Arabidopsis thaliana: one gene and its partner. The protein of the gene in region 1 binds, or shares a complex with, the protein of each later gene. Each region holds a gene or a part of one and is shown in the gene's direction. Other genes may lie near its edges.

Evidence for each region.
Region 2: THO5 (region 1) and DWA1 share a complex: the UniProt entries of both Arabidopsis thaliana proteins name them as parts of the THO complex.

The regions. Positions count from the first base shown.
Region 1 is NC_003070.9:17,144,672-17,159,933, forward strand, and holds THO5 (THO complex, subunit 5), read left to right. Parts: upstream 1-8,224; 5' UTR 8,225-8,284; coding exon 8,285-8,767; intron 8,768-8,941; coding exon 8,942-9,278; intron 9,279-9,369; coding exon 9,370-9,662; intron 9,663-9,745; coding exon 9,746-9,991; 3' UTR 9,992-10,172; downstream 10,173-15,262. Other genes in the region: AT1G45243 (Cysteine/Histidine-rich C1 domain family protein), read left to right, coding at 2,387-3,178; AT1G45231 (S-adenosyl-L-methionine-dependent methyltransferases superfamily protein), read right to left, coding at 3,348-3,443, 3,710-3,833, 3,924-4,018, 4,089-4,224, 4,376-4,607, 4,699-4,862, 5,308-5,429, 5,541-5,957 and 4 more; AT1G45229 (uncharacterized protein), read right to left, coding at 10,766-10,932, 14,103-14,130. UniProt on the Arabidopsis thaliana protein: Acts as a component of the THO subcomplex of the TREX complex which is thought to couple mRNA transcription, processing and nuclear export.
Region 2 is NC_003071.7:8,407,803-8,424,223, forward strand, and holds DWA1 (DWD (DDB1-binding WD40 protein) hypersensitive to ABA 1), read left to right. Parts: upstream 1-7,243; 5' UTR 7,244-7,414; coding exon 7,415-7,740; intron 7,741-7,827; coding exon 7,828-7,904; intron 7,905-7,985; coding exon 7,986-8,031; intron 8,032-8,158; coding exon 8,159-8,219; intron 8,220-8,307; coding exon 8,308-8,361; intron 8,362-8,451; coding exon 8,452-8,532; intron 8,533-8,623; coding exon 8,624-8,663; intron 8,664-8,935; coding exon 8,936-9,036; intron 9,037-9,208; coding exon 9,209-9,319; intron 9,320-9,575; coding exon 9,576-9,692; intron 9,693-9,848; coding exon 9,849-9,938; 3' UTR 9,939-10,192; downstream 10,193-16,421. Other genes in the region: AT2G19410 (U-box domain-containing protein kinase family protein), read right to left, coding at 30-151, 235-356, 440-570, 988-1,210; AT2G19420 (uncharacterized protein), read left to right, coding at 3,899-3,917, 4,420-4,530, 5,777-6,081; AT2G19440 (O-Glycosyl hydrolases family 17 protein), read right to left, coding at 10,362-10,975, 11,043-11,542, 11,682-12,004. UniProt on the Arabidopsis thaliana protein: Acts as a component of the THO subcomplex of the TREX complex which is thought to couple mRNA transcription, processing and nuclear export.

The DNA.
Region 1 (15,262 bases):
TCAAATAAATAAAAACATAGTCCATTACATTCTTTTCATACACTAAGAATAAGTCGATAAATTCCAAGCATACAAAAAAATATGGCTAAGCTAAGCTCCCATGTTATTGCGCTATTCATTGTTGTAGCTTTGGTGTATGCGTTTGTTCCTGTATTTTCTGTCAAAGAAGCTGAAACAAAATCATTATGGAACACTTGTCTAGTTAAAATCACTCCTAAATGTGCATTAAATATAATTTATGTTGTTTTTGGAAATGGAACCCTCATTGAGTCTTGTTGCCACGACCTTGTCCAAGAAGGAAAAATGTGCCATGATAATCTCATTAAATATATTGCTGATAGACGAAGTTTAATTGGCCGTGAAGCACAATACTTGAAGAAGAGGGATGACGTGTGGAGTCACTGTGTCTCAATTTCTAAAACTGCTTAAAATATGTGTGTTTTTAATACTATTTTGATCGAATATATTTATATTTTGTCTTTGTTACATTTTCGTTATCATAAATTTATTTTTATGTACTAAATTTAATAAAAAAATAAATTAAAGCAATCTGTCGTAAGATGAATAAAAATTCATTTTTTTATTTCAAAAACAGAAAAAGGAACTTATTCAAAATAATTCAAAAATTATAATGTAAAAATAGCGTAAGAACACTGTTATTTATGTTTCTATGTTTTGAAATTCGGCTAACTTTATAATCCAATCAAGGTAATTACAGAAAGAATTATTATTTGTTCATTTCAAGCAAAAAAAAATTAACTTCTTTGAAAAATATTTTTTTACTCTTTTATCACAAAAGTCCTTAAATCAAAATCTCCTAACACTAAAATCCGCTTTTTCTTTTTTCAAAACCTACACTAAAGTTCATTAGACTCCCAACCCAAAACTGGTAGTAGTTTCTTCCCCCAATAGGCTGATATCTTGGCTTCCCGCGGAACTGCAATGCATACATCTATCATGTCTGATGCTAACCCAAGACTAGAAACCAACTTTTATATTATTGTAACTCAGCCGATATATTATCTGGAGACAAATATAACTTAATTAATTATGTCCATCAATCCATGCAATTTTCACTTAAGGTATTATCAACTTTAATTTTCATCATCCTAGATGCGAAAGATAACATAGAAAGCCCTTCTCTACATCTCTCCTAGATTGGTTGATTTGCAGCATCTAACATATCATAAAAGCGTTGCGCATCTACATTGGATTCTTCACTAATATTTTCAGCAAATGTATATAATTTGTGAATTTTACACAAATCACTTAAAATACTAGATTGAATACACCCAAGACTAGAAACCAACTTTTGTATTTTATAGTAACTCAGCCGATATATTATTTGGAGGCAAATATTACTTAATTAATTATGTCCATGAATCCATGCAATTTTCACTTAAGGTATTATCATCTTTAATTTACATTATCCTAGATACTAGACTAAATACACCCCTCTAATAAACTTTAAATATTAACTTGTCCTAAACGTTTTACATAAATATAACTATACTTAATTCTCGTTCATCTTCGATACTAATGATTTTTTCCATTATAATCTTTATTTATGGATCTGACTATTTATAAGTTTTGTTGACATCTATAATTTAGAGTTATCTTGACAAAGCAAAAGGAAAAAAGACAAAAAAAAATCGACAAAATACAAAAACAAAAACATATTTGAACAAGTTCCTACTTTTTTGGGTATATCCAACAAAACTAACAAAAACCAAACAACCCAATTATATGTTAATTTATCAAATAGATTTTGACATATATCAAAAACTTTTAATCTATTTAGTATATATATTAACCAATAAAAAATGAGTGTTGAAGTTTATAAAAAAAAATCTAAGTTATTAAACATTAATTTAATTGGATAAAGTTTTTATTTACGGTTGCATTGTAATTTTATTCGTAAGTGAAAAAAAAACACACAAGAAAAAACAAAGAGCTTAAATGAATGAATTTAAGATTACTTATGATCTTAGTATATTTTCTTAATATGTTCTACTTTATATAGAAAATATTTTAAATAATTTTGGTTTCCAAAAACAAATTTGGACTAATCATAATTGCAATAAAATTAATTTGCATGATGAGAACAAACTCGGTAGCGAGTTGAACTAAATTTCATATGTCAAAAGTGGCCTAGGGTCGAGCATAAGCTGGCGTGCCGGCTTGCCACCATCAATAAAAATGTGAGGAAAATTATTGATATATACATATTTGTATTACCATTAGCATTCATACACATATCAAATGCATTCATAATCAAAATTCTCATATTAACCAAAACAATCTCTCTCGGCAACTCAAATGGATTCAGATTCGGAGTCCAAGCTCATATCACTCCTTACTGAATTATTGTCTCTCAACATGCATTATGCCAATCTATTATGGTAAATTCTACTCATGTATGCAATGTGAGTTCATTCTACACGAAACATATGCAAAACTTTCTCGCAAACTATATCACCCGATACATCCACATATGCTCACTTTGTTGGGAGGATATGATGGTGTTGTGGACTTTCTTGTGGATAATTGTTCAGTTTGTTCTTGGTTGTGCAAAGTTGGTTTCTTCTATGAGTGTGGTAAAGAAGGATGTGATTTTCAGCTACATGTGCAGTGCGCCACAATTTCCGAGCCATTAGTCAATGGAGGTCATATGCATCCTTTATTCCTAACATCCAAACCAGGAGAGCAACGGAGAATTTGTTCGATTTGCAAAGATTTTAATTATTGTCGCACAAATGAAACATTCAATTGCCTTGAGTGTGACTTTTCTTTGTGTTTTGAATGTGTTAGTTTACCTCAAAAGGTGAGGTACAAGCATGATAAGCATATGCTCAATCTTTCTTATGGAGAGGAAACAAGTACCATGACATATTGGTGTGAAGTTTGTGAGAGAAAATTAGATCCAAAAGAGCGGTTTTATACTTGTGATGAGAACTGTTGTGTATCCCTACACATTATATGTCTGCTTGGATGGGACTTATACATGAAGCCCGCTTCATCGTGGATCTTCTACGGTAAAAAGGTAGATGTTCTGCCCAACAATCAACATATGTCTCGACCTATATGCTCCTTTTGCAAGAATCGATGTCCATACAAAACATTTTTAATACGGCTTGGATTTAGATTTTGTTCCACACGTTGTCTTAGTAGAAACTGATGGACTTTGCTCTTTGTTGTAAGAAATATAATTGAACAATTGTATTTTGTTGTACTGCTTTAGACAACACATTTTGTCTATACAAATGCATAGCCTATGATCATAAATCAATATTGATCCACCTGGATTCAACAAGCCAGCACAAACGCAGATTGCATCTACCTTTTCCCTACTGTGGTCTTCTTTTAAGCTTCTTACAATCATCTTGTCTGACGTAATACGCTGTTACCGCCTTCAGCTTCCCATTTAAATAGTTCTTTTCTACCTGAAAACATTTGAGTTCGCCTATTAGAACAAGTGTTACTAAGAGACAAGAAAATTTTGCAAGGTTTGTTTCCATTGTGATAAGCAAATAACCAAATTTTTTCAACAATGTAACAGAAAACAAATCACCGGTTTTATTTGATGGAAAGTCATCATGAATAAGCATCAGAATCTATCCAATTTCTTGGAATTCCTTTCTAGATTCCAAAGAATATGCTCATATATATAATCGACCATATAGGAAAGTGATAAGAAAAAAACACTTGCCTCTAGTGACCATGGAGGAGACGTTGATAAGGCAAGCTCTGCTAGTTGGTTAATGTCAACATTTCTTGGAAGAAACATAATGATTGTTGACGCAATGTTCATGGCCGCCTTAAATAGAGCATCTCTGCATCATTCAAGAACAGTAAGGATATATTTCTTATCATGGAAAGAGAGTAAGAGTTATATGAGCATCTCTGCAACACGAGAGACATACCCGTCACGAGGTCTCAACATTGTCTTCATATCATACGTGCTCGCTTTAAGATAATCAGGGCCTCCCCAAGGAGGCGATAGGAATACAGTGCCTGCCTGCACAATTGAATTCTTTTCAATGGCTACTCTATGACCAGAAAATTTGAGAAGAGTTGAATTAAAAAACCTTCAAGTTATGTGCGAGGTCAAAGAAGTCTCCCTTCACAAAGTCGATTTTATCAGCAACACCATATATGGCAGCATTATGCTTTGCTAAATCAAGTTTCTTTGGATCCAAATCAATTGCAATCACATAGTGACTCCTAAAAAAGCAAAACACAGCAGAAAATAAGTCAGGGAAATTGCCCAAAATGTGCAAAACGCTACTTCCATTAGTTAAACTAGATCCTGCTACCGTGTGAATTACTACTAAGAACTACAAAACATCAGTACAAGAAGTGTATGTCCACTCACCTTGATGCGAACTGGATAGCATTTCCACCAACTCCTGTAAAACAGTCAATGACTATGCCTTCATTACAGCGTGTGGCATGATGTTTAGCTATAAGTTCAGGAGTGACAGAAAACCATCCTTCCTCATCCATCTTGATGCCTTCATCAAATCTGGAGAAGAGGAGGTATCTTTGGCACCAATACTTGCCAAGGATTGGAGAATATTCTTCAGGAACACCTTTCATTTCAGTCCCTGTTTACAGAAGAATCTAAAAGGTTTTAACGACGGAACAACTGCAGCTGTGAAAATTCAAAACTACATATATGCAATAAGTGTTGCAAACCTGTGTACGAATTGAGTAATTTCTTTTTGGCTCGAGATCTTCTAGACTCTTTCTTAGCCTTTCTAACGGAACTGACAACATATGCACCGGTTCCCTCTTCACCAAGACTAGTAATATCCAAAGATTGATTTCCAATGGAAGTTTCTTGGTATGTATCAATCAAACTGGAAACAAGAAAAATGTTAGAAGACTGTTGTTAAAGAGGCTCAACAACACAGAAAATCAAAGGTTAAACTTTTTAAGCATACCGGTAGTTTCAAAATTATGGCATTTAATATTGTAACATAGCTAAATGTTCGAGGTTATACGGCTTTATATCAATAGCTTCAAACAAGACCATTACAGACACTCTAAACGTTTAAAGTTGTGCCAAAACAACTCTGCTTGTAGTCATATCAAGTATTGGCACACAAGGTTGCTAATCAGTGCTTAGTTAACACATATTAATGAGATCAACATAGTTCTGATCAATGACTATTTATATTGCAGAAGATAAGGTTGTTAATTCTTTTGTTAAAAGTTGGTTTAACTTAGTTTGGGTCCAACAACCTAACGCCATTATAATACAACCAGAAGGAAGAAAAACCACATATTGTTGAATTTTAATACCTGTTAACTTCCTCTGTGGCTTCTGCTTCAAGTTGACTTTGACAAACTCCACCAAGATCGTCAGCTTTGTCAAAGGGAACATCATCGCCAAGCACAGTTCCAGACAAGTCATCATGATGCTTCTTTGTTGTCGTTTAATACCAAAAAGAAAAGAACCAATAACACAGTAAATAAACAAAATCAACTAAAATTTGACAAGAAAGATAGAAAAGGCAGAGATCAATCTCAATCACCTCTATGACCAATTCACTCAAGTTGTGACTTTCATCGCTATAAGCTAGATGCTCCATCCCAAGTGGCGGCTCCCATTTTGACTCTTGTGTCTTAAAATTGTAAAAATAACTTCGTCCATAGAACGAATCCCAGTAGACCTTCCATACACTAGAGTCATGAGAATCTATTGTCTCTGATGCCAACACTGAGTCTCCATCTCCATTTCCCAAAAAACAGCTCCCCACAACAACTTCATGATTTTCTTCTTCCACTTCAATTACTTGTACACAATCTTCCTCAAAACACGGACTCTCAACCTCCTCATTCAAAGCAGACACCAAATTCAAAGTGTCTTCTACTTTGAGAATAACATTAACCTCTTCGTCTAATCGATCCTTGAATCCTTTCTTTTGATAGCCTCTAGTTCTGTTCTTCCACTACACAAGTTGTTGAATTCTCAGAGAATGTAATAAACTAACTAAAACCCATGAATGTTGATAAGAAAAGGTACCTGCTTGTTTGTTCGAAAGGAAACCGGAAGACCAAGATCATTCATCTCTTTCATCAATCCATTGTCTATAACAAAATTCAAATTCAACAACTTTCAAGTTCTTTAGCAGAAAAAAGTTAAAAAATCAAAACTTTGAAGATATAACCTAAAAAGTAAAGACGTACTGGCAATTCCATAAGTATCATCAACACTCTTGTTCTGCATTCAACAAAAAGAACCAAAATTGGAATCGAAATCACAGAAACATAATACAGAGTTATAAAGAACACACTTACACCACTGTGTTGATGGAAGAGAGGAGTATCTGTATCGACCCTGAGGAATTGAAACAGAGGAGAATCAGAAGTCAACAAAAGAGCTTAATCTTATTTTTTAAAAGTCAAAAAGGATTATTTATTACCATAGATGGATTTGAGTAAGCTTGAAGAGAGAACCCAGAGCTTCAATAGCTTCACCTTCTGCTTCTTCTACTTCGCCTCTGACCTTTCCCATTCTTTCAGGAGTATGAATCAAAACCCCCCATAGACCCCTCTTCTTATATGGGAATTTGGTATTTGAACCGACGCCGTTTTTAGTAGTTTTTGTCGTTTGGTATATAAACCGAGCCAAACCGAAATTTGTCTAGTTTGATTTGGATTGGTTAATTAGATATCGGCAAGAAGAAGCATAGATTTTGATAAACGGTCCGGTTCGGAACTACCAAACCGAAATTATCGAAATTTTATTTTAAAGTTGACCGAAATGTACCTAAACATACCAAATTTAACAGAAACTGAACCGAATTTGGTTTCCATTCCAAAATCAGCACTATAAAACTAAAATCAATCAAAATTAATTGGTTTGATTATGTTCGGTTTGGAACTATCAAACTAAAATTAACGAAAATTTATTTTAAAAACCATCAAAAATGTACCAAATTAAACCGAAATTGTTAAATTAATAACCGACTCGATTACAAATCGGCACTATTTATACCATAAACTGAACCAAATTTCGGTCTGATGAGGTGAAGTTGATTTCAAACCGAACATTGAAATATCAAAATTTCGAACCAAACCGGACCGGCTTAGTTCTAAGAAAACGGTAAAAATATCAAAAAAAAGCCTGAACTTTCAAATTTGGGATGAAAAAAGCATGAACTTTGTAAATGTCGTATTAATCATGAAGTTTTAGTTAATTTCTCAAAAAAAATAGCTAAGTTTCGTTGACCGAGCCGTTAAAGGCTTGCCGTTAAATTTTCGTTAACAGAGTTATCACTCCGTTAGAAATTTAAAACGACGTCGTTTTAAATTTTAAAATTAAACAGAAAAAATGAACCTTGCCAAGATTGGAACCGTTACCATGAGAAACTCATTACGAGATTATAAACCATTGACCCACAATTACATTTTGTCAAAGTGACAAACACTAATGTATATATATACTCAACTATTCGTCTTCTCATTCATCTCCTCTATCCCTAGAATCGGAGTTCTCTCCGTAAACAGGATTCCATCGGCGTTTTGGTTTCGTTCCATTAGACAGATATCGGAGTGAGCGATTTTTGTTTTATTGATCTTTGTTGTGGTTTGAGCATTAACCAGCTCTTAGGTATCAAAACTGTAATTTTGTTCATCTTCTCAAACCTTTTTAATAATTTGGTTTCAAAATTGAGGGAATTGAGAAAAAATACATATAGATCCATTAGATCACAATCTAAAGCTCATGTTCGACGAAGATAACACAGATCTGAATCGCAAATCTCACAATCAACATAAAAATTGAAATGCGATTGGGTTTTGTGAACTTGAGAAAAATACAAAGCTATGGCACGCAACAATAGAGTTTTGTTAGTTTCTGTTAATTATGTAATATTAAATATAAACTTTTGTTATTTGATACGAAGATGTTATTTTGTCTAAATGGTTTGGATGTTTGTAAAAGTATTCTCATGTCTCATGTTTGAGCTCAGGTGGTAGTCATTTTTTCTGTTTAATTTTAAATTTTAAAACGACGTCGTTTTGGGTTTCTAACGAAATGATAACTCTGTTATTATTCTGTTAACGGAAATTTAACGGCATGTCTTTAACGGGCCAGTCAACGAAAGTTAGCTTTTTTTCTGAGAAGTCAATCAAAACTTCATAATTAATATGACATTTTCAAAGTTCATGCCTTTTCTATCCAAATTTGAAAGCTCAGGCTTTTTTTTTTGTTGACATTTTTCCCCTTTTAAAACCCTCTCTCCGAGCTCGGCGAGATCAGAGGAAGTAAATTATGCAATCGGAGATGGCGATAGACACGGTGGCCACGGCGGAGAAATCACCACTAGAGCTACTTCAACAAACCAAAGCCTCCGTCGAAGCAATCATAGCAAAGATGCTCTCCATCAAGCAACAAGGAACCCCTAAATCCGAGAATCGAGAACTCCTCACTCAGATGTTTCTCAACTTCATCAATCTTCGTCAAGCGAATCGCTCGATTCTTATAGAAGAAGAGAAAGTGAGAACAGAAACGGAAATAGCAAAATCTCCGGTGGATTTCACGACGTTGGAGCTTCACAATCTCATGTATGAGAAGAGTCATTACCTCAAAGCTAATAAAGCTAGTAGAGATTTCAAATCTAGGTATCCAAACATCGATCTCATATCCGAACAAGACTTCTTCAGTGATGCTCCCGAAGCAATCAAATCTCAAACGTTATCAAATGATAGTTCTCATGATTTGATGCTTAAAAGACTCAATTTTGAGCTTCATCAGGTAAATTTCATTTCAAAGTTCATGTCTTTAAGGTCTTGTAGTAGCTTGATTCAATGTGATTCAATGTTAAGCTTTATACATCTCTGTCTCGAATCGTTAGACCAAGTTCATGTGTTAGATATTGTTGGAGTTTTTATTCAAAAGTGATTGAATGTTTAAGTTTGTTATACACAGAGGAAAGAGCTATGCAAGCTTAGAGTGAGGTTGGAGCAACAGAAGAAGAGTTTACTTGAAAGTAATGCGGAGAGGAACAAGTTTCTGTCAAGTCTTCCAGTGCATCTCAAATCTCTAAAGAAAGCATCTTTGCCAGTACAGAGCCAGTTGAGTTTGCAGAATCAGAAGAAGCTGAAGTATCATAATCTAGCTGAGCTTCTTCCTCCGCCGCTTTATGTTATATATTCGCAGTTCATGGCACTGAAGGAAGCTTTCGAAGAGAATATCGATGTTGAGGTATCTGGGAGTCTTAAGGATGCTCAAACTTATGCGCGGCAGCAAGCAGAACAGAACTCAGGTTAGCAATTCTCACACCTTTAGTTAAAATAAGAATTGAAAATGGAATAGTTATGTGCTCGTTAAAATGACATGTATGTTCAATAATACAGAGAGTCTAAGATTAGAGGTTGGTGTTGATGAAGAAAGGCAAAGGAAACGACTCAAGAAAGTGGGTTCTGATGAGGGAGGAGTATATCAAGTTCATCCTCTTAAAGTTGTCCTTCATGTTTATGATGACGAGATTACAGATCCGAAATCTCATGAACTTGTCATGCTCAAGTTTGAGTACTTGTTGAAGTTGAATGTTGTATGTGTTGGCATTGAAGAGTCTGAGGATGGACTTGAGAAAAATATACTATGTAACTTATTTCCAGACGATTCTGGACTTGAGCCTCCTCATCAGGTACATGTGGTTTTCCTTTTTGATATTCATTCACATATGTTTGCTTGAAAACAGTCATACTCACTTCCTTTACGGTTATACAGTCAGCCAAGCTCATTCTTGGCAACGATCATGTGTTTGATAAAAGCAGAACTTCGAGGCCATATAAGTGGGCACAACATTTGGCGGGGATTGAGACTTTACCTGAAATGTCACCATTTTTTACTGACAAGGATATTCAATATAGTGATACAGCTAAAGGCTATGCTTCTGCTTCTGATCACCGCAATGTGCAAACCGTTCTGCAAAGAATACGGTCCCAGAAAAAGACTAAGCTAACGCTTGTGTGAGTCACACCACTCAGTATGTTTTTTCCCATCTTTTGACAGTAGTAGAAGTTTTTCATATTTGTAAGTCAGTTAGTTCTTGGTATCTGAAACAAACATAATGATGAGGGAGGACTATATCAAATTCATCATCTCAAAGAGTTGTCCTTCATGTTTATGATGAAACAAACATAATGAGAAGAGTGACTTTGACATCTGCGTCTAGGTTAAGCTTTAGCAATATCTAAGCAAAGAGATTCTGATGATCCTGTATATATGTATAGAGAGAGAGGTTACAATTTGATAAAAGATGAGAACACAGTTCAACTAAACATTATAATTAGAATGATTTATCTATAGAAACCAAGTATGAGCATGATCTATATTTGACAGTATCTTCCACAGCTTTTATGTTGGCTTCCTTGAAGATTCATTATCTCCATCTCCTGTTGTATAAACCCACCAAAAAACGATGGAGTTAATAAGCTGTAAGCGTTGAAGTTGCGTACAATAAGATTGGTGAGAGCAGTTTTGGTGTCAAACAAAGTGCACTTTAGAGGGTAAGAGCGGATTTCTTGGTGTCAAACAAAGCTTAAATCATAGATCTATGAACTCATTACGAGCAGATCTTTACCCAAAGACATTCTAAATGGGGAGGATTCAATTCTCAGGTTGCAGGTAATTTCCACCAGTAGAAACTACGACAGGTTTAAGTCGCATAAGCCGTTTAAATAAAGTTTTGTATGGTAGAAAAATAGTGTAAGATGGAATAAGAGCTACCTGATTCTTCTGTAATTCCTACATATTGCCTGCAAAACACGAGAAGAGATACACTCTAAAACTAACAGAGATGAATGTAACATATGAGCAGATGTCTTTGTGGTCGGTCATTACCGGCTTCCTTAGTAACTTTTCCTCTCTTCTTTCTATCTTTGCAACTTCAGCTTCAAGCTCCACCATATAGCCTACAAAGCAAAACAAGAGTACTAAAAACATTACATGAACTTCTTTAACCACTGAGCCACCTCAGGTACATTCCAATGGTCGGCCATGAACATATCACATATAAATTAAATTCAGTTCACTAGGAAACTTACTACACTTTGAGCGACTAAACCAGGTCGACAAAAAAATTTCGGAGCTGGTTGAAACCCAAATAAAATGCATTAACCTAACAAGATATAAATGACAGTGCGAGAGAACCCCGAGTTTGATTCACGGAATGCCAACTTGGCCAGTTTACAAACGAAAATTGTTGGATACAAATAACATAGGCCCTGCTCAATGAAAGCAGATGGTATTTTGATAAATAACAGATGTGGCTCTGATCAGATTCCGGCAACTATAATACAATAACTAATCCTTATCTCCTGAACGCAAGCTAAAGAATTGGATCAAATACTTTTCACCGCTCTAGTCTCTCCTGAGATATCCATTTATCATCCTGGACAAGTACGTTTAAGGTACTGATGCTTTCAGAGGAAATAAAAACACAACTACCTTTGACAAGGAAATGGGAGGAACATATTCAAGGGTGCATTAAACGCATCTTCCACTTCCTCAGGAAAAGGTGTTTTTTGTCAGTAAGAATTCCTGTGACAGAAATTACACTAGAGAGATGCTGCATTAGAGAACCAAGGGCAGATAAGAAAGTAACACTCTCCAGAAAAGGATAGTTATGCTTATGCATCTCTCTGTCACTTGATAAAAGGAATAGATAGCTTGACATACAACAGAAAACCTTTGGCATAGAGCTTACAACAAGAGAAATGCAAGATGCATGATTTTACGGCATGAAGTTAACTCCTATCGAATTTCATTTATAGATATTGCATTAGATTCAGCAGGAAATCTGACTTACAAAAGCAACGAAGAATCACACTAAACTCATACAGTAGATTCAAACAGATCTCAATATTATGCTTGTAGTACTGCAGGTATAATGCTTCAATTGTATACAAAACAACAGGGCATTTGGTCTAGTGGTATGATTCTCGCTTTGGGTGCGAGAGGTCCCGAGTTCGATTCTCGGAATGCCCCACTGCATTTTTGAGTACATTGGTCTAAATTTCATCAGGATTGAATAATAGTAACATACAATCCACCTTTGCACTAAATGCTTAAATTCAGTCAACTAACAGAATTAGATCTACAGCGTTTCATTTCTACTTAACAAAATAACATTTAATAACAGATTTACGCAAATGTATGGTTCCAGCTTCATCAAGTATAAACCCCTAAACAAAAAGATTCACGACAGCATCATCTAGTGGTATAATTCCTGCTTTGGCTTCGAGAGGTTCCAATATCTATAATTGGAATGCCACATCTACTCTTCCAAACTATACGTTCTAATTTCTACCTGAAATTTTGCTTAGAGATCAATTTTCCTTAGTCCTTCAAAAACTGAGGAACATATATTTCACTTTTAGTCAGCAAGAGAAATCATTAACAAAAACTCCCCCAAACTTTCATTATTAAGTGCCTTCTGCATACTAGAAAAACATACCGAGGTTTTAAGTCCAATCAATAAATCTTCATAACCAGTAAACTTCATCTAGGGAGGACCGACACATATTGGAAGCAGCAGGATTCACAAAGAGTGAGCTGCAGAAAGAAAAGGAAATGGATTGTGACTACATCCAACCAAGAAGCAACAATTCCTCTTCAACAAATGAGAGAGTGTAAATGGAATGCATCAACAAAACAAGATATAAAACAGGGCATTTGGTCTAGTGGTTTGATTTTCGCTTAAGGTGCGAGAGGTCCCGAGTTCAATTCTCAGAATGCCCCGTTGACTTCTTCAGAAACTTTTGTTTTAAAATCTTGCTGAAAATTGTTATAACTATCAAATATCAATCTACCCTTTCGTGTTTGTTATTTCATTGGTCAGATCAACAAACACACAGAAAGTCTTTAACAACACCCTATTTCACTAAGACTTTCAATATCAAGTGTTCCAAGGCAAACCAAAGAATAAATTAACTGTCACGTACCTTTACTCATGTCTGACAACGTCTCTGAAATTAATCAAGGAACTTCAGCAATTGAACATTAAAGACCCCTTGCATTTTAGCAAGAGTAGATTAGAGACGCCAGTAGTTGCAGATAAACATTTAAACAAACAAAAGACCAGATCCTTATCATTTTAACTGAAAGGTATCATGACTTCAGTTCTTGACGATTTTTGAGACTAACACCAAAATTTTGCTTTCACATCCATTGACTTTGATCTCTTCAACCGCAGATTCAATCTGAAAACATGAGATAGTACTTAAACTAGCTTTGAACCGCTAAATTCGCCAAAACCGAACCACATCAATAGGGAAAGTATGACACGTAAATTTCAATGACAATTTTTTTTGCAGGAATTTGAGAATCAAGAACAGGCCGAGCAGCAAATTGAAACCTTTTTAAACAATCTTCAAAAGCACATGTATTTATTCTGGTCAGAATTCTTGCATGTAAATTTGTAATTGGTGCCTGATTTGTGTTACATCACATTCAGCATTTCGACTATGTGTATCTACCTAAAGCTTCACCAAAATTATTTGCGTATTGCCTAAGGTAGTCAATAATCAAGAACTTGGTATAGTAGCAGCATGATCAAGTCTAACAATAAGATAAAAAGAGATCATGATGAATTAAAAATGTAGGATGCAAAGACTATCCACATCTAATGATTTTTCCGCAGATCAATATATTTCTAGTCTATTTCCATACAGCGTACATTGCAAACCATTGTACTGAACTGAAAGAGATCACATAGAATATAGATCTTGGAATATCCTATCAAAACTAAATTATTAAGTAAAAGTCAACTTAGAGCAAGAGACCACAGTATGACCAAATATGGTGATCTTCAATGTTTAAACTAAATTGCTTAGCAACAGGGCATTTGGTCTAGTGGTATGATTCTCGCTTTGGGTGCGAGAGGTCCCGAGTTCGATTCTCGGAATGCCCCGTTGACTTTTTTGGATGTCTGATCTAAATACTAGCTGAGAACTATCGTGGCACAAACATGTTCTTTATTGCATTTACCTTCAATTTTCAGCAAGGTAACATGAGACAACTATTTCCCATTACGTCTGTTTGGTACTAGAGTTTAACAAATAGAATGAGAATCTCACTGTACCTTTCCTTTGACGTCCAGTGACTCGCATTATGCAGAAAAAATCAGTTTCCCGATAACGGAATGAACAAAGAACGCCACTAGCTGAACGCTACCAGTTTCTTCAAGAGACACTTGCAGGAAATGAAAAAAAAAAAAAAAAAACAGCCTTAGACTGGTATCCAAGTTTTAACAAGAGTTGTGCATTGAATGATTTATATCAACAACAGGGCATTTGGTCTAGTGGTATGATTCTCGCTTTGGGTGCGAGAGGTCCCGAGTTCGATTCTCGGAATGCCCCATTGACTCTTTTTTTCTAGGAAATAGCAGCTCAGAACAGTTGCATATATTAATGTGCCAGGTCTATAGTTTCTGATTTGTCACAGACTACATTCTGATAAAAGTAACAATTGTTGACAGGCCGTCAAATACCTTTGCTCAATTTTGACAACGTCTCTGTCATTAGTCATTGAGCTTCAGCAATTGAACAATAATGACGTCCCTTGCATTTAGCAGGAGTAGAATAGAGACGCCACAAGTTTCTCGTTAACATTTTAACAAACAAAGGGGACCAGATCCTTACCATTTCCACAGAAAGGTAGCAAGAGTTGGATATGTAGTCTGACGATTATGTTTCTGACTTCAGCTCTTGGAACTCTTGTAATGATTTTTGACGTTAAGTGCTGAACCCAAACAAACTAAATGGTGTAACACCAAAGTTTGGTCATCACATCCGTTGACTTTGATCTGTTCAACCAGTAAGCACCCCTTCTGCAGATTAAACCAGAAAACATGAGGTAGTACTTAAAACAGCTTTGTTTCATTAGATTCTCTAAAGCTCACCCATATCAACTGGGAAAGTATCACACATTCACACGCAAATTTCAATGTAAAGAAAAACATTTACAGAAATTTGAGAGTCAAGAACAAGCCGAGCAGCAAACTGAAACCTTTTAAATGATATACAAAAGCACATGCATTAACTCTGGATGCAACAGCTACCTAGCCTAATTCTCAAATTCCGGTAAATTATGGGATACAAGATTTGCATTTTCTGCCTAAATTATGAGACTTGAACAACATGCATTTCCATTGTATTGTTTAGAAAGAAGAATTACAAAACATGAACTGTTCTTTCCACAAAGGGTAAGGAAACAAAGAGAATGATTTAACTGAGAAACACC
Region 2 (16,421 bases), on another chromosome or scaffold:
AAAACGAAACACAAAATCCTAATTTTTACCTCGGTTGATTAATGGATCCATAGATTTTGTAGTGATTCTGTCTTTACACACAATGTATACTTCACATGTTTCTGGTGCGTATCTTAAAACGGTCAGTGGTACTCCTGTACCTTTTGTTCTCCTAGACCGAAAATATCGCTGTTAGTGTATATAACCGAGTTAATTAAGAAGAACGTAAACCAAAACCGAACTATGTAAATTTACCATGTGAATATGTTTGAAGTAAATGATCCCATAACCAAACTGTTAACTCCTGATTTGGATATCAATCTGACAAGTGCTTTTGCAGGATCGTCGTACTCTAGCAATAGAGTCTCTACCTTACACTGAAGGTTACAATATTTCAGGGAGTTTAAAGTTTGTCTCTTAATTTATCTAGATTTATAAACCGAAATAAAACAAAACCAACCTTGGTACTCCTAGTACTCTTGCACATTTTCAAAAAGGGAACAAAGACTGTTTCATATTCTTTTTTCACGTCTCTTACATACATTTCCACCACACTCTCCTCCACTTCTTCCACCGGCAATCTATCTCCGGCTGTAACAACCCACATTCTCGTAAACATTAATATCAAAATATCTTTAAATTACAATGATAAATTAAGTATTTAAAAAGATGTCAAACAAAAATTTTGATAAGTCGAATTAGCTAATTTACTTTTTAACATACAAAAAACGGAACAATTTCACCTCATTAAAATCAAACTACGAAAAAGTAATTACTTAATCATTTGATTATCATACGAACATAATTTGTAAGATTTGTGAAACTTACTTTTCACATTTTCTTCCTTCATGTTCTATATATTTGGTGTGAAAAAAAAAAAAAAAAAAACTCAGTAATTATTATTTCCTTTCTGTCTTTTGGTTTTTACTTCATTTTATCTTTATATCATTTACATTAGGTTTTTAATAACAATAACAAGAAAAATGTGAATGATTGAGAGAGACTTACTCGGAGTAGGAATAGAAGTAATGGTAGGGATGACGTGGATCATCACAAATTTATCAGCCTTCGGTAAAAGATTATCGACAGCCCACCGTACGGCACGACGACTTCCTGCACCGCCTAATTTGTCTCCGATCAAACCCTTCACGGCCACCGCCACAAACAGCTGACCCTCTTCCGCCTTTGGACCACCACCGCCACTCATTTCTTGCGTCAGCATCACCACCATCTAATCAATTATACTTACGTATACCACAAGTAACCAAAGAATAACTTTTTGTTGTTGTGACTGAGGAACCCTTGTGGGCTGATACACTTTTGTAGTTTTGTTTCTGAATTTGGGTGGGGAAATGCTATTCCAGAGATGGATATTACTCTGATCACGACTATATTGTATTGATCTCTTTATATATATATATATAAGAGTCGTTTAGGACCAAGTGTTTAAAAATGTAAAAAAAAAAAAATTTGATTAGTAGCCGAACAATGATTGGTCGTCTTTCGGTCTATTTGTTGCTTTGGTTTGTTTAATCAATAATTAAAGTCCTAAGATATGTTTTAATATAAACTTGAACAAACAAAATATATGAGTTTGATTGTAGAAATGCTTTAATTAACACTCTAAGTCTAAAGTATAAACAAAATAACAACATCAAAAACTAAGTGATTGTAGTGTAGGCGTAATAATATTTTGATAGTCCGTTCTAAAATTAGTTTATAAATGCTATTTTTTTATGGACCACTATTAATTATTAAATCTCAAAAGAATTATTTCTAAACAATGTTGTTTACTTAAGTGATATAGTGCAGTACAATATAAAATTTTTCGTATTAGTTTATAAATACATAGCTTAAAAAATATAAGAGAATACGAAGTAGACTCATAGGATTGGATTATATAAAATCAGTCTATTGACTTTAGGAACAAACAAAAGATATAATTTGATCTGTTTTGAATTTTGTTGGTAATCACCGATATGGATCTTGCAGTCCTGGATATATAATTAATAGTAAAATATGTTTGGCCAACATTAGGAAGAAATCGATGGGATGGAAATCGCCTTCAAAGGAATATATATTCCATTTAATACTTTTCAAATTCGAATTTTTTTGGACGGCCAATTTGTTAATTATAATTAGTGTGCAGCTTTATTATCTGAAGTTTTCTAGTTCTATCTACATGATATTTGAACGGTTTAGATAGAGATTTTTATGTCTGTCAGTTGTATAATATGTATCATATACTATGACCAGTTGTACCAATGTGGGCAATGTGATCAATATAATGTAACCTACTAACTTATAACCTATGTATTTGTTGCAAAATAATTATGTATGAAGTAATTTTGAATTTATTTGAATTTTTCCCTGACTTTGTCCGTGTCAACAAACAATTCGAAATGCCTCGACTTTTTTAGAACAGGTTCTAGCAAAATAACTTAGCTCAGTAAGCTTTCAGAATAAATAAAGTAGTCATTTTCTATCAGAAGATGACATAATTTAGTTTTTTCTTCTGTGCAAACAATGACATAACAAAAAACAAATGACATTACTTAGTTACGGTACTAGATTAATCTTGAAGTGGTATGTGGTCGCAACAATCTGAATCTTTTAGTAAAAGGCATGAGATTGTTGTGGCCTTGTGAGATAAGTCACATTTTGTTCCGGTTAAAATATGAAATTATTCAGTATTTTTTGTCGCAGACCAACCTATATATTAAAATTCTTTATAATTTTTTTTTAATACATTGTCTTGAATTTCCACGATTTCTTGCACATAATAGTTGTTTAGGATTTGATCATCTGATACGGTAACGTACAGATCCAAATTTCCGATCAAACCGGTTTGATTTGGCTGAGTAATGATGTTTGCAATTGTTTTCTAATATGTAACCAAAAGTTGACCAAAACAGTCTAAATGATTTTTCATTAATTTTTTGCTCAGCACAAATGAGGATATACCCGAATAATTAAGAATTATATATAAAAAAAAAACACTAATAATGCACTGATCGTTTACGAGAACGACATAATTAAACTAATTAAAGATCTTAACGATTGTCGACTCTCCAATGTTCTTATACACACACAAATATAAATATGATTAGTCCAATCTATATAGTCGAACAGTAATTTACAGCAGACTTAGATCGATCTTTCGTATAGAAGAAAGAGACGTTACCAATGACATTACTGAAATAACTTCTTTTTTTTTTTTAACTACATAGAATTATTAACACATTCTAATACAGCATACATTAATACATATATACTCTCACTACGTGTAAATGATAGAAGACGATCAATATTGGCTAGAGGTCCATCTTTGGTTAATTGTTCCATATATGTAGATCTAAGCTATATATACATAATACTTTCGGAATTTTTTTGTATTTCTTAAAACATTAAATATGCAAATGTAAACGGAAACAAATCAAACAAAACTTTTAATTTGATGTCAAGAAAACGATATCATATTTTTTTATTTTAGCCCAAGCTGTTTTTGGGTGTTTATTAGTATACAATTTATATTTAATTGGAGCGAAGCCTACATATAGAAAGTTTAGAGCATCATGTAGACGTCATGTGAATTCTAGGTCCAAAATTATGTACACACTACATAAAATATCATAACATCAAACGAAAAACACATATACCACACACGAAAAAAGGGAAAAAAGAAAAGAAATAACCACCATCACTTAGTTTCTGATTCTGGACAAGTAGTTCATGAATCATCTAATATATTAGTCATTATTGATTTCTTAAAGATTTATTGATCAATTCATACATATATTTCTATTTCTAGCCAAATATATAATAGAGCTAGATTTTTATTTTTTTTGTTCATAAAAAGAAAACAGCTTTAATTGATAACAGTTGTTCATTGTTATTTTTGCTACTTAGACGATGGATCATGCATGAAAAGGTACCAAGTAATTCAAACAGTACTGTTATTGGTAGATTTTAGATATATGCATAAATGTGGGGGACAAAAAAAATATAGATACATAAATATAATGGAAATGGTAAAAGAACAAAAATAGATAAAACATAGATAAAGGGAGAAAGAAAAGTACTTTTTTACTTAAGAATATATTTCTGTCCACAACAAGATTTGCTAGGACGAAAAATCAGTAACTATTTCTCAATTCTTCTATGTAGCTCTTTAAAATACTAAAGGTCATCCGATGACCGGCATCAAACCCTTATCCGCAACTTGATACGCACGCTTTGTTCCTTTGCGATCATGCGTGAAATCTTCTCATTCTCATGATGATAAACCTTCCTTATGTCTTGCTCCTTAATTTTTTTCTTTGTTAAAGTGCCTTGCTCCTCTTTGTAACTCAAAGCTCATCATTTGTACAAAAATTAGATCATTTTGTAGCCTTTATTATGTTATATATATTGATGTGATTAGTGTTTGTAATTTGATAGAAAAAACGTACGACTCTGAGCTTTACAACGGCTATTTGGCAATTTACAACGGATATGGCGACTTACGCTATTTTACTGTAAAGATTGAAAATGATATTTGTGTGTCGTTAGGTAAAACATTAGTGAAAACAAAAGGTGGATAGACAAGATATGGTCATATCTATCTAACCATACACAGAGACGTTTGCTGCCATGCATGCATGATGCATATATATATATATATGTGGATATAAAATATATTTAATTTATATACACATAGTCCATAGATAGATAGATAAATAGACGTAGAGAGGGAGAGAGCAGGAGACAAGAAGAGAGTAAGCACGCAGAGCTTTCGAGCATGAGCATGCTAGAAAAAGAGCCATGTGTGCTCACTCTCTTCTGTCGCCTTCGTTATTGCTATTCCCTTACCTCCTTTAGTTGACTTGCTTCATCTTCTTGCATGCATATGATTTTGATGTTATATTAGCCTCGGTCCCTAAAATTACTATATGATATGATGATATGATATGAAACAGTTTGTCTGATTTTAGGGTCTATATATAAGGATTGCTAGGGTCTATATATGATGATGCATGCATAGATTTCATCATCATCATCCACTGACCACTAGCTACGTTTAATTTATAGAAAGATTCCGCCGGATTAAACTCTTATTTCCTGTCAATTTGAGCAACAAGATTCTCTCTTTTCAATTATATATACATAACACATGTCTATAATATACGTACAAACCAATAAAATTGGACTCTTAACAAAATTTTGAGAGTGAGAGATCCCACTTAAAACGAAATAAACTATTTGTTTGGTCATTGCATGCGTAAACGACCACTTGAACAATTAAGTATACATAACATAGGTCTAGATCTATGTGAAAGATTCCCAAACTTAAGATCTCTAGCTAGAACATTCATTGATCCTCCAATCAAAAACCAAAGGAATAAAAAGTAATCTTTGTAAGGGCGAATGTAAAACCGAAACGTAAGCTAGAGGAATTGATATTAAAATGGAAGTAAAAGCGAATATTACTAAAGGTTTTGGAGTTAATTAAATAAAGACAAAAGATGCAAGGACAACGAATTATGAACATCTTCGAAATACGTTTTTAATATTGTTTTGGCATTTGATTTGATTTGATTCTCCTTCCACATTCCCTTGTTCATATGTGTTTGTGTCTCACGCAAGCACTACATAAGCGGTCCCCCTAAATACGTTTCTAGAAACGTCAACGTTTATTCAATCATACCAAAATTTACATGTGTATTCATCAATCAGCCGACCATAAACTACATGGTCCATTAGTCATTACCTATACTGCAATTTTTCTAGCTTTTAACAGCCATTATGTACTTCACAGTTTGGAATACTGGTATGACGAAGAAAAGTCGAGGTAAAAAACGTATTAGAATAAATGTTTATCGTCCAAAGATCGCACCAGCAAAGAATAAGAAACCTAAACCAACAAAGGAACAATTAATGGACCCTGAATTTTCTGATGAAGACGTACTTACCAGCTTGGGTTTTGATGATGGCGGTTACATAATACCACTACCGAAAAAATCTCTCATGTTGATTAATCTACCAGATTCTTTTCGAGATGAGTTGCAAACGATGCATGTCAGTTTTTATCTCCGAGAAGTTGGCAAACTTATGTTTGGGTGAGGACAAATATGCTCTAGTGAATAGTACTAAGAAGTTGATGCTTACAGATGGTCTAGGACGGCTTCATTTGTTTTGGATGAATTCAATTTTTTTTCCGAATCAGTATTTGCGAATGAGATTTATGTAGCCCTAGATGTGAGATTTATGAAAGCTGGAAGTGCCAAAAAGAAAGGTGGAGATTTTAATTGTAACAAAAACGCACAGAGTCTTCTTTATGATTTTTTCTTGGTAGATATAGATGAGGAGATATATGGGTCAAAATTTGAAGAGACGGAAGACCAAAAGAAGTGGAACAAAAAATTTTGAATTGATTTGTCTTCATCATATTGTGCTATTAACATTAAACACGAAATAGAGCATCTGAATCTTGAATTCTATGGAATCTCTAAAACGAATAGACAGATCTCCGCGGAGGAAGTGAAATTCTCTACTCATACTGCATTCAAAATTAATTGAGTTTTTCAATTACATTGGAGGTTTATCCTTTGATACTTTCGGTTTGGTGATTTGAATGAAATGTTGGTTTTGACAGAAAAATGAATAACACTTGCATTAAAATCATCAAAAATTGAATAACACTAGAATCTAAGGAGGTGTATTCGATCTTATATTTTAAGTTATTTGAGTTTTTATATAATTTTGATTTTTTAAAGAATTTGGATGAATTTAAGGAGGTTGTTATGATTTATGGTAAAATCCTCTCAAATTCCACCTAAAACCATGAGATTTAAAATTATATATTTTTAACTAAGAAAATCCACTTAAGTCTCTTAAAGTCACTAAAATCCAATCTTTAAAATGTTTTCAATAACAGAAGATTTTTAAGGAGATTTTAAAATCAGTAATTCAATAGCATTAGATTTCATGATACTTTTAAAAATTCATAATTGAATAACATAGGATATGTTAGTTTGAATAAGATATCCTAGGTGTTAATTTACTATTTTTAAAAAGGTAAGATTTTTTTTCATGTTTTTAAAAAATGTGAGAGTTTTTTTACCTATTTTTCTATTAAAATGAAATGTATAAAATTAAAATTTTGTTTTTAAATAAAATTACTAAATTAAATATTACAAAATATGTATATATTACTATTTAGAATTCAAATATTATCGATACAAAATTAAATTTATTTCTTCAATTCGTCTATTTAAGCAAGCTAGTAATTTGATCGACAAAAAAAAAACAAGCTAGTAAAATATAATTAACAGAATTACTAAATCGGCCGGTTTAGGGATTGCTTTCTCTCAGTCGTCAATTGCACTAAACCACTGGTGGTAATATCGCTGGCGTTTCGCAAGTATCACCGGGAATTGCAAAGAAGCAGAGGACCATGTACGGAGACGCTACAAACTGGAATGAAGATGAGTATAGAGAATCAATTTTGAAGGAGCGAGAGATAGAGACACGCACCGTCTTCAGAACCGCCTGGGCTCCTCCGGCGAGAATCTCTAATCCAGACGCATTTGTTGTAGCCTCCAGCGATGGAACTTTAGCTTTCCATTCACTGAACTCGCTTGTGTCTCAATCGGCGAGTTTTGGCTACTCGAAAGGTCAAGATGTTATGGTGGCTGAACCTGAGAGAGTGGTTAGGGCACACGAAGGTCCTGCTTATGATGTTAAGTTCTATGGTGAAGACGAAGATGCTTTGCTACTTAGGTAGAGACTTAAATCTCTCTTTGTTGATTGATGAGTCTTTGATGAATTGTAATTGAGAGTTTGAAATTTTGATCTGGTTATGTGTAGTTGTGGTGATGATGGTAGAGTTAGGGGATGGAAATGGAGAGAATTTGCTGAATCAGATGTGTCTCTTCATTTGAAAGGTGTGTGTGTGCCATTTTTGTGGTTTTTGATATGAATGATGCTTTTTGGAGCTTAGTGGTTGTTTTTCTTATGATCTACAGAGAATCATCTGAAGCCATTGCTTGAACTGATTAATCCACAACACAAGTGAGTATGAGTTTTGTTCATTTTTTATTCTACTTGATAACTCTGTTACTGAAAATGCTATAATTGTGGGTTCAAATGTCAGTGTTCGTAATAGTTGTGTGTATAATCACCATTCTTTTTCTTATAGAGGTCCTTGGGGTGCGCTTTCACCGATGCCTGAGATCAATGCCATGTCTGTTGATCCTCAGGTTGGAATTGTATTTAAATTTCATTGCTTGGTTAGACAGTCTCACAGGATAACTGTTTCACCCTCTCTCACTTCTTTCGTTTTGATAGTCAGGAAGTGTATTTACAGCAGCTGGTGATTCTTGCGCATATTGTTGGGACGTGGTATGTATTTGACCATGATAGATGTATGTCCTATGTGAATCCAGATATCTTAACTTTCTAAAATCATTTATGTGTATCCAACAATTTCAGGAGAGTGGTAAGATTAAAATGACCTTTAAAGGTCATTCAGACTATTTGCATACTGTAGTTTCTCGTAGTTCTGCAAGTCAGGTAATGATGTTACCATAAATATTAGAAATGCACCTATCCAAATCTGAGTTCCACATTTGGATTTTTGTCTGATTGTAGTCTCTTTCTCCAGATATTGACGGGTTCAGAGGATGGGACTGCGAGAATCTGGGGTAACATGCTCCCGACCATATTTCTTTATGCTGTAATTTCTAGTATTAGGTCATACGTGGTTATAGAACTTTTGAAATCATTTGAGTCTTCATGTTGGTACTTAAGATCCAATGCTCCTCAGTTTTGTTGGCTGCTTCTTACAACTCTATGATGATTCATTTTGGTGATTACAGAACTTTCCACTATGTTATGTTTTGGTTCATGTGGTTTACTTTAGTTGTCTAGACTAAGCTTTGTTCGCTCAAGGGCTTCTTTCTGTTTTGTCAACCAGATTGCAAAACGGGAAAATGTGTTAAAGTAATTGGTTCCCAGGATAAAAAGTCCCGCCTTCGCGTTAGTTCTATGGCCCTTGATGGGAGTGAAAGCTGGTTGGTAAGAACTAAGCAACTAGATAATCTAACATTTTCGCAACCTGCTATTTGTTTGAAGGGATTGTTGCCTCCAGTAACCTAAGAATATAGTTCCTTTCTCCTGAAGAATCACTTAGAAGTTTAAATACTGAACATGTATTTACTGTTATTGGTATGATTTTCTCCTCTTTCAGGTTTGTGGACAGGGCAAAAATTTAGCTTTATGGAATCTTCCCGCCTCAGAATGCGTACAAACAATACCCATCCCTGCACATGTACAGGATGTGATGTTTGATGAAAAGCAAGTAAGCAGAACAAGATTAGATTGAAATTTAAGCAGTGTAATTTAAAGCCTTGGGAGGCCGTGGGTGTTATTTGTTTATCAAGGCTTAATAGGTTTATGTAGTATCTCTTTGAATCATCCCTCTTCAACGAAGTTTATTAAAAAAATTACTGACTTTTCTAAACTAGAAACAGAGGTCAACACCTAGTTTTAATTCCTGTGCTAAAGTTTAAACATCTTTTTAAAAATGTTGTCTTTAACAAGTATCGCACTATCAGATTTTGACTGTAGGAGCAGAACCACTTCTAAGACGTTTCGACTTAAATGGAGCTTTGCTTTCTCAAATTCACTGTGCTCCTTGTTCAGTATTTTCCATTTCCTTGCATCCAGCAGGAGTATGTTTCCAATCCCTTCTTTTCTCCCCATTTCCTATATATGTGTTTGCTTTTCTCCCATTTCCTATGTTACTGCTAATATTCTGCAAATATGTTACCCCTTCTGGACTAGAAACTCAATGTTTAACCGTTGATCCAATTCTTTTGTATTTGCAGGTAGTTGCTGTGGGAGGTTATGGAGGTATTGTTGATGTCATCTCTCAATTTGGAAGCCATCTCTGCACATTTCGTAGCAGTTCATTGTAAAACTCCTTACAGTTTCTTGATTTGGCTCGATACCCTAAAGAGGTACCGAAATGTGTCAGTCAGATTATTGCAGAGGTTAAGAAACCTTTTCTTTGTTTTTCTTAGGATCTTGCTCCTGACTAAAGACCAATTAGTTGTTTGGTTAAGTGTAATTGGTTTGTGGTTCCGTAGTTGCTATCAAATTTGAACCATTAAAATGACATTGGACCGGTTTAGTCTGATCACGTACATTAACTGCCGTTAGAGTTTCAATTTTTTGCGAGTCCTGTTTTCTTATGACCACCATTGATCAAATATTTGGATCCATAACTAAATGATTCTCACTCTTCCAAGTAAAATTTTACCATATTATGCAATTTAATACATGGACAAAACATATAGTTTCCATATCCACAAAAATAAGTCCTCAAAAACATCACTAATCTAAACCTCAAACATCACTCCTGATAAGAGAAACCAAACTCCAGCGATCAACAAAACCAAAGAAGAAGAAAATGAAGAAGCTGTGGAAGCAACAATCTGAATAGGGAAATTGCATTGTCCCTGAGATATATTCTTTGTGGTAATGGTGGCCAAACCTTGGAAGATACAAGCATCCTCATCCTGGTTCTTTACTTGAAAATACATGTTAAACGCATATGAAGCGTTCCCATTTGCATCAAGAGTATTGCAAGAAGACCCGTAACCAAGCGCAGTGCAATCCGAAAAAGTGCAGGCGTAATCTATGTTAGCAGCGAGTTTTGTCAAATCTTTGGCTTCTGTATTAAACATACACCACTTCTTAGGTTGATACGTCACGTTCTCGGCACCAATCAACAACTTGTTCTGTCCTTGACCTGATAGATCTATAGGAAACTTTGGTTGCCCGTCGAATTTGAATATTCCCCAGTGGCGTTCAAACTCTCCCGGTGCTATACTTTTCGCATCCTCATCAAGTAATCCAAACAAGTATACCTCAATGTAGGTTGGTCTCAGTGGAGTGCCTCTGTTTTCCCCAAGCCTTGGTAAAAGACCGTTGTAGAATCTGTAAGCACTGCCTGCGAAAAATACGTTTTCAAAACATTTCATTGCATCTAAAGAACTGGAAAATGTTAGATGTCTTACCACTATTTGCGTGTTTGTCACCCTCTGTTGGCCAACCGACTTCTCCAACGATGATTGGCATATCTCCATGACCAACAGCTTTCAAAGCCGATACCAAAGTGTCGAAATTGGCATCGAAAACGTTTGTGTAAGCAATACCATTGTCATCTACTGGTTTAGCACCATCAAAGAAGGCGTAATTGAGTGGAAAATCATCATTCCCATAGAGGCTTAAGAAAGGGTAGATGTTAATGGTGATGGGTGCACTGTTATTGCCAAGAAAGTCAACAATCTGAGTCATTTGACCGATGATATCAGGACGGAATCTTCCTGCAGATGGCACAGGGTTGCTTGATGGTGAATCGTAGACATCCGCGTTTAAAGGGACTGTCGCTTTGACGGAGCTTCCTAGTCCAGCTTCATTCAAAGCGTTTTGGATGTTTTGAAGTGCAGGGAATGTGAGGTTTATAAATGATCCATTGTATGATTTGAGGAATGGCTCATTTCCAACAGCTACAAACCTGAAAACACATCCACAAGAGATTAGACATATAAACATTTTGACAATGTTCTTACCAGATTAACATTTTCAGAGAATTGATTTCACAACCGAACACATTAGAACCAATATATAACAAGCAGAGGGAGAAACTCACTAACGTGATATTGACACCACCATTGAAGTTATAACGAGTGACATTCTTATGAACCCAATCTTTAGCTCGGTCATAACTTCCCATAACCTTAAGCTGATCATTAGGAATAGCAACCATAACTTCAAGACCAGAGCCAGAAAGTGCACTCATAGTGGTCTCATCCGCATCAAAAAGCTTAACTTTGTTAATGTTATTGTCCTTAAGCATTTGAACCACTTTCTTTGGTGGAAGCTTATGTGTAGCCATTGTTCCCCAGTTGACACCTAGCCCATCTACCATAACAATACCCATGATTCCAAATCCAACGACGAAGGCCAACAGATTCATCGTCCTGAGAAACAATGAAATGGCTTACCAGGTGTTTTCACCCAAATTCAAACCCTTAACTTGAACACTCGTAAAATCTCACTTAAACCCCAGAAATTGAAGATATTTACATTTTCCTAAATGGAGGTCAATCAAAACATCATAAAGTTCAAAGCTTTTCACGCAAAATCTACGAGATAACCAAAAATAAAGCCAAAGATACGATTTTTAACAAAAAAAAATGAGAATGGGGACTAGACCTTTCCACTGAGAGTAACAATCGTCAAGCAAAAAGATTGATTCTTTTTTCTCTCTTTAACTTTTCCGGAAAAAAAGTTTTAAGCTTTGATCTTTCTCTGATTGAGCTTGACGGTGAATAATATGCTTTGTGATTGGTTCTTGGAACTTGGAAGTATTTGGTAAAAGCCCAAATTAAAAGTTTTAAGTAAACATTGCACTTTTAGAATTTTATTGTATTGTTTTTATGGTCAGTAAATAATGACCCAATGTGTTTTATGTTTGACAAATGTTTTAGAGTGGTTATTGGTAGATGAATTTTTCTAATTTTCAGATTTTATTGTCAATAATTCATGGATTCTTTTAAAGTTTTAGTAAAATACATTGTTATTGGGTTGTAAGCTTTTAAATTCTATTCAAAAAAAAAATTATTCAAATAGTTTAGTTATTATAAATTCTCTAATTCTAACAAATATATCTTAATATTAAGATATGAAATTCTATGTTTTTACTCATGAAGCACAACTTTCTTAATCTATATATACATTTTTGGAGGGGATTTTTGAAGATAATGTTGAAGATTTGAACCATAATTCAACAATTAATTCAAATGGGTGGGTTTTACCCGGTTTAACTCTGTTCGGATCCTGGATAACATGTTTAATTCTGTTCTGATCTTGGATAACATTAATTTTTGGAAAAGTTACCTAAAACCTAATAATTAAAAACGAAAATTAATGATTTACTTACCAAATTTAATATAAACAATATCTCTAAACTAACCATATTTTTTATTTACCTTAACTAATTTCCTAAAATATTTCTACCTAATTTAAACATAAATATATAAATCTTCTTTCATTTTTATTTGATCTTATACTTTATTTATTTTGAATTTATATAAAATATATATAGTTAATAAAATATTATATTTTTCTGAATATGATGTAATTTAAATTTTTTAAAACGGACATATATTATTCAACCTATGAAGAAATAATATATGTACAATGTCCCACATCGCTTAGAAAAATTGGACAATGGTTCAGACCCATATTATAAAAGGACCAAAATGATTCTGATTACGAATGAGCAGAAAGCTTGATTTATCAGGCGTCCAAAATTAAAATAGTTATCCGATTTTACTCGGATTTTTTATTTTAAAGAATTGAAACTTTAAAATATTTCAAGAAATTATAAATATTATAACTTTATCAAAAGTTAAATATTATAATTTTAAAATCTTTTTATAAAGTTTATCTTTAAAAAATGCTTGAAATATTTATAATTTTAAAACTTATAAAGTTTTAAAGTATAAGTTTTTAAAATTATAAATTGAATTTTACAAGAAATTTAAATATTATAAATATATAAAAAATATATTAATACGAGACGATATATTACAGGAAAAATCTTAAATATAACAATCAAAATTCAATGATGAATTTTGGGTCGATATTGTATTTTTTTAAGTTTCAAATTTTATAATATTGAAATTTATAAGAAAATGACAAAATTATGTTTAATTTTACGGGACTGGGTTATATGGTAGGACGGGTTTGGGTGGATAATAATTACGATTTTAGAATGTTCCACATCGCTTAAAAAAATTGGACAATGGTCAAGAGCCATACTATAAAAAGGACCAAAATGATTTCGATTACGAATGAGCATGAAACTTGATTTATGAGGTGTCCAAAATTAAAATGGTTTGTTTACTAGGGTTATTTATTTTAAAAAATTGAAACGTTAAAAAGTTTAAAAAATTATAAATTAAATATTACAAGAAATTTAAACAATATAAAAGATATTAATACGGGACGATATACTGCTAGAGAAATCTTAGATATAACACTCAAAATTCAATGATGAAATTTGGATCAATATTAATCATTTTGAAAGTTTCTAATTTTATAAATATTTGAAATTTATAATAAAATGACAAATTTGTGTTTAATTTCACGGGACGGGGTTATATGGTGTGACGGATTTGAGTGGATAATAACATGGGATAGTATGCTATGGAAAAAACATATAATAACAATCATAATATAATTATATAATCTTAAACACTAAACAAAATTAACAATATTAAAAAAAAAACTTAAAACTTTAATTTTTTTTAAAAAAATTTTGATTCTTATATTAGAAATTTAAACATTATAAATATTTAAACTTTATACTACGGGTGAAATTTTAGAATTGACTGTTTAGGTTGATAAGAATTTACGATAGAACTAGGAGTTAAATCCTAGAATGACAATTAAAATATAATTATACAATTAAATACTACCACGAGTGAAATCCTAGAATTGACGAGTTTGAATCGATATTAATATGGGATAGTGTACTACGGGTGATATTTTAGAATTGACTGGTTTGGGTTGATAATAATTTGCGATAGAATTAGGAGTGAAATCCTAGAATGACAATTAAAATATAATTATACAACTAAATACTATCACGGGTGAAATCCTAGAATTGACGGGCTTGATTTGATATCAATATGGGATGGTGTACTACGGGTGATATTTTAGAATTGACTGGTTTGGGTTGATAATAATTTGCGATAGAATTAGGAGTGAAATCCTAGAATGACAATTAAAATATAATTATACAATTAAATACTACCACGGGTGAAATCTTAGAATTGACGGGTTTGATTCGATATTAATATGGGATGGTGTACTACGGGTGAAATCCGAGAAACAACAATCAAAATACAATTATAAAATATTAAACATTTAACAAAATAAACAAATACAACTTAAAACTTTAAAATTTGAGTTATAAAATTTCTTCTCGCGGTGAATTATACATTTAAATCAAACAATAGCATAAATTTATTAAATCATCATAAAAAATATTCAATTATTTTTTATTTAATAAAAATATAGGCCCGCGGGTTAATATCTAGTACTATGCATATCCAAAAAATTTTACAAATTTATGAAACAACAAAAAAACACAAACCCAAACCCAACGATCAAAACAACAACAACCTTTGATTTTTCTTTTAGCAAATCTCATGTGTAGCAAAGATTATTATGCAAATCATGTCACAACCCAAATTTCGTGAGACATAACCATGGATAAAATATACAAAATAGGATATTAGAAGGGAAATTGCAAATGCCAGTAAAATTTCTCTCACCTATTCTCGACAAAAAACATTATTCTGAATTGAAATAATTGATTGATACTCTATACAAAATGGTCATGTAGAAAGAATCATCCTTATAAACAAATTAAAACATACCTAAAACTGGAGAATATGATATGTTAATTAGGACAGCTAGGAAAAACAAAATATTGTAATCATTTCTAAAAAAGCATAAATATACAATATCTCTTATACAGAGAATTTGGTAAAATATATCTTATACATAGAATTTTGGTAAAATAAATTTTGATATAAATCTATTACAATTAGTGACAACCAATCATGATATTTGGTTAAAACAATCCATGCATATTTGTTAATCCACAAAAAAAGTTTAAATATCTAACTCTGAAATCTCTAAAATCTTTACACCTATGCATCTACCAATAATGATTCTGAAAGTTTCAGAAAAATGTCTGGAAATATATAACTGTGTTGGGTTTTCATTTGAAAATTATGATCTCTTACTAGTAATAACGTCATGGAAATTGCAACACAGAAAAAGACTTATAAAGTTTTCTGATATTTTTCTAATTTAGGATTTTCTTTTTAAAAAATACAAAGAAAAACCGACTATAGAAATGTTGGTGTAAATTAAACAGGAGGAAGAGTTTTATCCAATAATACAGTATACAAGTAACAAGATGAAGAACCTCGGGAACTTGATACGTTTGAGGGTTAACAGTGAATCATATTTTTTATATAACCAAGTCATAAACTAGAGAAACCATATAAATTGAACAAACGAAAAAAGACAATCTCACTTCCATGGTTAGTAATCTTTCATTTAGAAAGATCTTAAGGGAAATATATAATTGTATATTCTCTCTCTATACCACACAATTCCGATGAACACACAATCTGGTATATTGTACATTTGTTTATAATGCTTGGCACGACGGCTTGTGATAAGGCTTTATCGTCTCATAAAAGGAAAACGTAGTCATTCGATCATCTCCCAAAGTTTCAATCTTCTCTACTGTCTTCGTTTATTTCAAATGATTATGAGTTGATTAATTATTCAAAACACAGAAGATC